Linked DNA regions of Schizosaccharomyces pombe. The main gene of each other region encodes a partner of the protein of the gene in region 2 in a complex. Each region holds a gene or a part of one and is shown on either strand. Other genes may lie near its edges. A codon is read from its position in the direction of its gene.

Region 1 (3,073 bases), on a different chromosome or scaffold from region 2:
GCCATGCCTTTTAATAGAAGCTTCACTTTTCTCTTTAACGAATGCACCAAGTGCCTTTGCAACTAAACTAACGTCTGAAAATGAGTAAACCGACATTTTTTCTACTTGGTTCTGGTTTGCTTTCAGTATTTGCGCAATTGTTAGTAATGGAGTAGTATTAACGAAACAAGGTGGAGTGTCGTAATTCATTCGGTAGTCGGAAATTTAGAACAGAACAAATCTTAAATCAGTTTTCGAGTATAGTAATGTACGATTACGGCATTATCACGGCAAGGTAGCGGAGGTATAGAATATAACCATGAAGCAAGCAATACGTCTGCATCGCTGGGATTAGATAAAGAAGCTCGACCTTCTCTGCATTTTTGTTTAAATAAATGAACCAAATGATATTGAGAAAGGAATTAAATGAAGAATATACAGATGGGCGCTGGTAGCTTTTCAATATCTTTCAATCGAGTTCAAACGTTTAACCATTTCCTAATCATTAAGATTGTTTATAGATGTAGCTAACAAAGGCCGCAAATTAGTCATGATTGAAACATGAAAAATCAGGTAACCCAATTTAAGAGAACATGTGTTCTATTTTATCCAAATAGCTACAGTAGTTGTTTGATAAAGCTGTTTGAAAATGCGCATTGTGGATAAAAAGACACAAGAGCATGAAAACGAAGAAGAAAACTCAAATAAAATTCATTAAATCACATTTTACTGACAAGATGATTGTTTCCTTTCATTTCATGAGGAAGTTTCTGAACAAGAAAGGAAACACTTAAGCTTCCGTTTTCCAGTTCTCACACTTTTTAATTATATAGAAAACAAATCTGATAAAAATTCAAATTGATCGTCCTTACGTACAACGTCCTCAACGTCCCTGTATCGTATTCCTTTACGTTTTTGTAATTTGGCAAGTTGATAAGCCTCTGTTGCTAACTTTTCAACAAATAATTCCTAAATCATAAAATAGGTAAGCTTTTATTTTTCTTTTTCTTTTATGCAATCAAAATGGTGCTAAGTCGCCCAGATAGCTGATTTATCAACAACACACATACAGTAGCTACTGAAATTAACAAAGCAGATGCATTAGAACAGTAGTGTACGTCTTCATCTTGCTTTATTATCCTCTTTACTCTGCTCAATGGCAATACAGTTTTCCCATATGTTTTCTCCATGAATCAATCCTATCGACCGAAACAATTTAAAGGACTGGAAAAAAGCAATTATACCCTTAAACTATAAGGTTCTAATATAAAATAACCCAAAATCTCTAGTGCTATAAAAAATTATAGCCTTCTGATTTCTGACTTTTAGTGTGTTGTTGTCAAAATACGAAGTACTCTCGCGTCGCGACCTAATAATAAACATACTTACTTTACCACTAGAACCTTACATTGTTGTTTAACTTGAAACATAAATATTTTTAACTTTTTTTCTATTTTTAAAGAGTATTTCATTTAGTTCTCATAATTTCTAAGACTTTGTGGATTAATAATTTTTTATAATCAGTATAGCATGCGTATACATCAAAATATACTCGATATCGAGTTAATACACTTGGTAAACAAAAGCCGATATAACAAGGCAGCGTTAAAAATGAAAAATAGTAATCACTAAGAATATTTGTAGAATCCTTTTCTTTTTAATATCTTATGCCGTTTTCATATCATAAAATAGGACATGAGTAACTAACACATCCCGGATACGTTTCATAACTATAAATTTGAATATTTTGTGTAAGAAATGAACTTAAATTGCAAAAAATCAACTGAAAATTGCTAAGATGTCGTCCAATAGTAGATTCATTTTAAAAAAAGAAACAAAAAATAAAAGACTCAGCTAACCCCAAACGACCGATAAGAATCCACTTCTGATTGCCTAATCGCCGCAGTGATTGCAAACGCAAACGACACTTCATCTACTGGTAAGCCAACAAAGTGACATGTATCAATATAAAAGCAGGATTTCATTTTTGAAACAAAATCCAATCTAATGTATAAAAAAGGAAAAGTTCAAGGTATCATCAACTCATGCACTCATAAAATCACGTATCGAGACTACTGGATTCCTTCATCCAACTCTATCATCGTGAACTATCGTAATCAAGTTTAATCATCCTTTTAGTTATATAACATAAAAAATCGGCATCTTAGTGTATAAGATTAAACCGAGTTTTCGAGCTCCTTGGCTATGCAAAACTTGTAAATCTCCAGAAACAAATATTAGACGTAAGTAACAGCTTCGTCGAAATTAAAGAGAAAAGTAAGAATGGGAAAAAATGCAGTTTTAGAATCGTAACATATTTTTTATCAACAATGCCTAATAATAAGAGCAATAATATGAATGAGAATATAAAGCCATTCCAGGCATCCGAAAATGAACATGTGTCACCAAAAAACACATACATGAAATAAACATTGCAAACAATCGAAGTTCAACATCAAAACTCGACATTTGAAACGTTGATAAGAGGTGGAGTCGAAAGCTGCACAAAGAGCTTAACTTTGACAGAGGTCAACAATTTAACAACTGTAACGGCTCCGCTCTCGTCGTATAAAGATAAAATGCCCTGGTCCTCTTCAAACCTTACGTGGGTTAGATTGAGCAAATCTAAATGAACACGTTTCTCCATGCCTAGAGATGGGAAAAATACGTCAAAATATGATGGAGCAACAAAACATACGAGACCGTCTTGCCAAACCTGACTCTCCGCCCAGTCACTAAATATTTTTATATGAATGCTAGTTTCTTGCGCAAATTTGCTTATAACCAGACGACGGCTTGCATCGTTTGCCGCTTGCGACCATACACGAAGGCGCTTTTCAGAAGCCAGTTCTCCTCTCAAAAGCAACTGCAGTTGATAATGAACTACAATATCACCATAACGTTCCAAAGGTGCTGTAAAATGTGTCAAATCGTCACTTTCGTCCTCAATACCAAGACTCATCATCTGGGAAGCGAGATTGCCTTTATACTTCTGCATTTCATAAACTGCTCTTGGGGTAACCTTATAATAATAAAGCTGCAAAATGTTACGAACAGTATCGTCTTCGATCAAACTTAAAGAGCGTAAAAGTGA
Region 2 (3,601 bases):
GTAAGCTATTTTGTTTACTCATAGCTATAGATTATCTTGTAATGGTTTTACTAGAATGGATTTGGCCAGCATCTGATATTGACCCAGCGGTTGACCGCGTATCCTCTACTTTCAAAATTTCTAAGCAGAACTTTGACGAATCTCTGGTATTAACGGACCCCAAAAAAAAGACAAAGATAAAAACTGCATGTTTAAAAGATGCACAATGATTACTAAACTTTGAACGAACGGTAATGGGATTATGACGATTCATGTCTTAAAAATTACATTACATCCATTTAAAAGGGGAATAAACAGCGGTCGAGATAGCTTTCTATCGTGACTGTAAACAAACGGTATAGCAATATTGTGATAAATTTGTTCAACCGTTGTCTAATACAAATCATCATGTCCGCCGTCAACACTAAAGCCTACAGAATGAAGGTACTTGCCCTTCTCACGTATATTTTTCTTCTTCTCTTCTTCATGAAGCTTCGCCAAAGGATACAGTTCTTCAGCAGGCATACGTCGCAATTGTTTGACTGCATCATACTCCTTATCCAAATCCTTTTCGAAATATTTAGCCCACGTTCAAAGAAATTTATAAAGATGCTCGAATATTTTATGTTACAAACGAAACTTACCAATTCACCTAAAAGCACGACGTTCTCGCCCCGAACAATATACACACCTCTGTCTATGTCCCCGTACATATCATCCACATAGATCCTCTCAATCGTGTATTGCAACATTAAATTTGCTACACAGTTAGTAAACTCACTTATGCGCCTATTCACGCAAACCATACCAAATTGATCAAAGGACCTTAAAATTCCAATCAGTTTTTTTCCATCTCGTAAAACAACAATCACTTTTCCTAAAAGGTAAAGTTAGATCAAGGAAAACATTGGAAAAAACACCGTACTGTCTACGTAGTCAACAAGTGACCCAGAAGTTGTGAATGGGATAATCTGTGTAGCTTGATTCATTCAGCTATTATTTGGATGTAGCATAAACTAATAATTTAATTTAGATTTAACTTTCTATTTCTTTTATAAACGCCTGATGACTTTATTTGAGTGTTTTCCTTAAAAAACGAGTTCGAGGAGATGGTTAGAAGCAAGTGCTCTGAGGTCGTCAAATCTGGAATCCTAAATTCTCCCTGTTTAACCCTAAAAGTGCTTCTGAAGTTTAAATGTTATTCGTTTGTTATGTTTTTTTGCTAATTGTAAATTAAATTATTTGGTTTTTCCATTTCTAAACTTGCCCATCATTGAATGTTGTAATCTGACTTTCTAGTTATAAAGGGAAGTCGGTCTTCACAAAAATTAAAGAACAAAAACATGTATATTTTTGATCACAGATTGTAAAAAGGGAATCTAATTATACTCAAGCTACCTAACAATTTTTCAGCATCATAAGCGGATTAGTTCATTGAAAGGCTCAACATTTTGCGAAGAACAGAAATAAATAATTTGATGATTTTTATCAATTCCAAAATCGAACTTGTAAAAATGTTGCCAATCCCATTTGTAATATCCCTATTCTGAGCTATTTCGACTGAGAAGAGATTGCCTATTATTCTCTTAGAACGTTCATTGAACGTTTTTGGAGTGTTCTGAAAAAAGATAATAAATTTAGTTGTTTTTATCTATTAATTACAATCAAAAATCGAGCCTTTAATAATGTATTGTATGGTTATCAAAAAGCTTTATTTATTTCTAACAACGCTAAAAAACTTTTTTTTTTACTCATTTAATATAAACAAAACAGTACAACTATTTAGTTTTAAGAAATTTGATAGCATTTCTACAAATGTTTCAACTCTAAGGCTCTCTCGGATTCTGCTCATAACGCACAGATAGTGTTTAGTGAAAATTGACAGAAATAGGCGACTCAGTGAATTTATTATACATTAATTAGCTAAAAAGAAGCAACCGCCTTTCTCTGTGATTATCGTTTGGTGACCATAGGATGATATTTGGATTGGATTTATAAAAGACTTGTATACAGCGTTTGTAAAAGATCTAGCGGCTGGAAAATCAATATGAATCAAGATAAATCGAAAGAAACTTCCGAATTGGATGATCTGGCGCTTCCTCGATCGATCATTATGCGATTAGTCAAAGGTGTCTTACCTGAAAAGAGTCTTGTACAAAAAGAAGCTCTCAAGGCTATGATCAATTCAGCAACTCTTTTTGTTAGTTTTCTAACATCCGCGTATGTAATCTATATAACTATATAACCATATTGAAGGGCTTGTATGATGAAAGAATTTATTATATAATTGCCAATTTTATTTTCTTCTGGAAACACTTTGTATATGAATGAATAAAGACTAACGTTACTTAGTTCTGGGGAAATTGCTACGAATAATAACAGAAAAATTCTTATGCCTCAAGACGTTTTGAATGCGCTCGATGAAATTGAGTATCCAGAATTCTCTAAAACGTTAAAAAAACATCTCGAAGGTATGTTTCTTACTCTGTACTTCTTCTAACTATTAAAGCATATGAGCTTGCCTTGAAAGAAAAACGATTGAAACTCCCTAACGTATCAGATGTTGATAACAGAAAGAAAGCCAAAATAGACGCGCATGACACTACTCCTCTAGATGAAGAAAAAGACGAATTAGAAGAAGAACGAATTGCGGAGGATATAGCACAAAATGAAGTTGAGCAAAATATTGATGATGTGGAGGACCTCGAAGAAGTGAATGATACATTAGACGCAAACGCAGAATCTCCTCAAATAGAAACCATTCATCTTACAGATGCTACGGGAAACCCAATTGAAGATAGCTCTGAATCCGACTCAGAAGAATCTCTTCAACTTAATGATTCTTCGTAATTACTGTTGGTTAAATGTATATGAAGATTGTCAATAGTCCTAACTTACATGGAGAGCTAATCATATTTTTTTACACGAAAAACTAAACCTTCTTTATTTTTTAATGGATTTTTTGGATACCTGTTAATACCCCAATTTACATCCTTGTATCCAAACATAGCTTTTTTAAACAGCAGTTTGAGATAATGTCTTTCTAGCACAACATGTATACTCGTTTAATGACATATATTTAGAAAGAATCATTAGATTGTTTACAGTTGTAACTCAATATTAGTCAATCTAGAATTTTTTTGAAAATCAACATTCAATAGGGAGAAGGTCGAAAAGAAAAGAAAAAGTTCATTCTCGAATTAAACAAATGCATTTTATTTTCCATCAGATTAACTTATGTCAACAATTGTAAATTCAAAAGTCTGTCGCCTTTACCTTCGCACACTTTCTCTACGTAAAAATTATAAGAATGCGAATTCTAAGTTGGAATGTGAACGGTATACAGAATCCATTCAATTATTTTCCATGGAATAAAAAAAATTCCTACAAAGAGATATTTCAAGAGTTACAGGCTGATGTAATATGTGTTCAAGAATTGAAAATGCAGAAAGACAGCTTTCCTCAACAATATGCAGTTGTTGAGGGATTCGACAGTTATTTTACATTTCCTAAGATCAGAAAAGGCTATAGTGGGGTTGGATTTTATGTAAAAAAAGATGTTGCTATTCCAGTGAAAGCAGAAGAGGGAATTACTGGCATCCTGCCAGTACGAGGACAAAAA

The links. The genes of interacting proteins can lie anywhere in the genome.
Region 1: the proteins of dpb4 (region 2) and dpb3 are in contact, whole or in part, in a crystal structure (PDB 5Y26), measured with the Schizosaccharomyces pombe proteins. Residues at the interface, in NP_595521.1 of Schizosaccharomyces pombe: Leu12 (codon at 2,060), Asp14 (codon at 2,066), Leu15 (codon at 2,069), Ala16 (codon at 2,072), Leu17 (codon at 2,075), Pro18 (codon at 2,078), Ile21 (codon at 2,087), Ile22 (codon at 2,090), Leu25 (codon at 2,099), Val26 (codon at 2,102), Val29 (codon at 2,111), Leu30 (codon at 2,114), Pro31 (codon at 2,117), Lys33 (codon at 2,123), Ser34 (codon at 2,126), Leu35 (codon at 2,129), Val36 (codon at 2,132), Gln37 (codon at 2,135), Glu39 (codon at 2,141), Ala40 (codon at 2,144), Ala43 (codon at 2,153), Met44 (codon at 2,156), Asn46 (codon at 2,162), Ser47 (codon at 2,165), Ala48 (codon at 2,168), Thr49 (codon at 2,171), Leu50 (codon at 2,174), Phe51 (codon at 2,177), Val52 (codon at 2,180), Ser53 (codon at 2,183); in NP_001343092.1 of Schizosaccharomyces pombe: Lys3 (codon at 1,163), Thr4 (codon at 1,160), Tyr5 (codon at 1,157), Gly6 (codon at 1,154), Lys7 (codon at 1,151), Val9 (codon at 1,145), Leu10 (codon at 1,142), Pro11 (codon at 1,139), Arg14 (codon at 1,130), Val15 (codon at 1,127), Arg17 (codon at 1,121), Ile18 (codon at 1,118), Ile19 (codon at 1,115), Gln21 (codon at 1,109), Asp22 (codon at 1,106), Val25 (codon at 1,097), His26 (codon at 1,094), Tyr27 (codon at 1,091), Cys28 (codon at 1,088), Ser29 (codon at 1,085), Ala31 (codon at 1,079), Ser32 (codon at 1,076), Leu34 (codon at 1,070), Leu35 (codon at 1,067), Ile36 (codon at 1,064), Val38 (codon at 1,058), Ala39 (codon at 1,055), Thr40 (codon at 1,052), Glu41 (codon at 948), Leu42 (codon at 945).

The regions. Positions count from the first base shown.
Region 1 is NC_003421.2:682,924-685,996, reverse strand, and holds dpb3 (DNA polymerase epsilon Dpb3), read right to left. Parts: upstream 1,321-3,073; 5' UTR 1,170-1,320; coding exon 1,050-1,169; exon of another isoform or gene 949-1,049; coding exon 805-948; 3' UTR 501-804; downstream 1-500. Other genes in the region: pgl1 (6-phosphogluconolactonase), read right to left, coding at 1-96; sts5 (Dis3L2-like 3'-5'-exoribonuclease), read right to left, coding at 2,435-3,073.
Region 2 is NC_003423.3:1,284,117-1,287,717, forward strand, and holds dpb4 (DNA polymerase epsilon subunit Dpb4), read left to right. Parts: upstream 1-1,829; 5' UTR 1,830-2,026; coding exon 2,027-2,199; exon of another isoform or gene 2,200-2,331; coding exon 2,332-2,450; intron 2,451-2,488; coding exon 2,489-2,829; 3' UTR 2,830-3,005; downstream 3,006-3,601. Other genes in the region: pig-A family phosphatidylinositol N-acetylglucosaminyltransferase subunit Gpi3, read left to right, coding at 1-209; mRNA-decapping complex subunit Lsm1, read right to left, coding at 373-546, 624-739, 788-856, 905-968; AP-endonuclease Apn2, read left to right, coding at 3,290-3,601.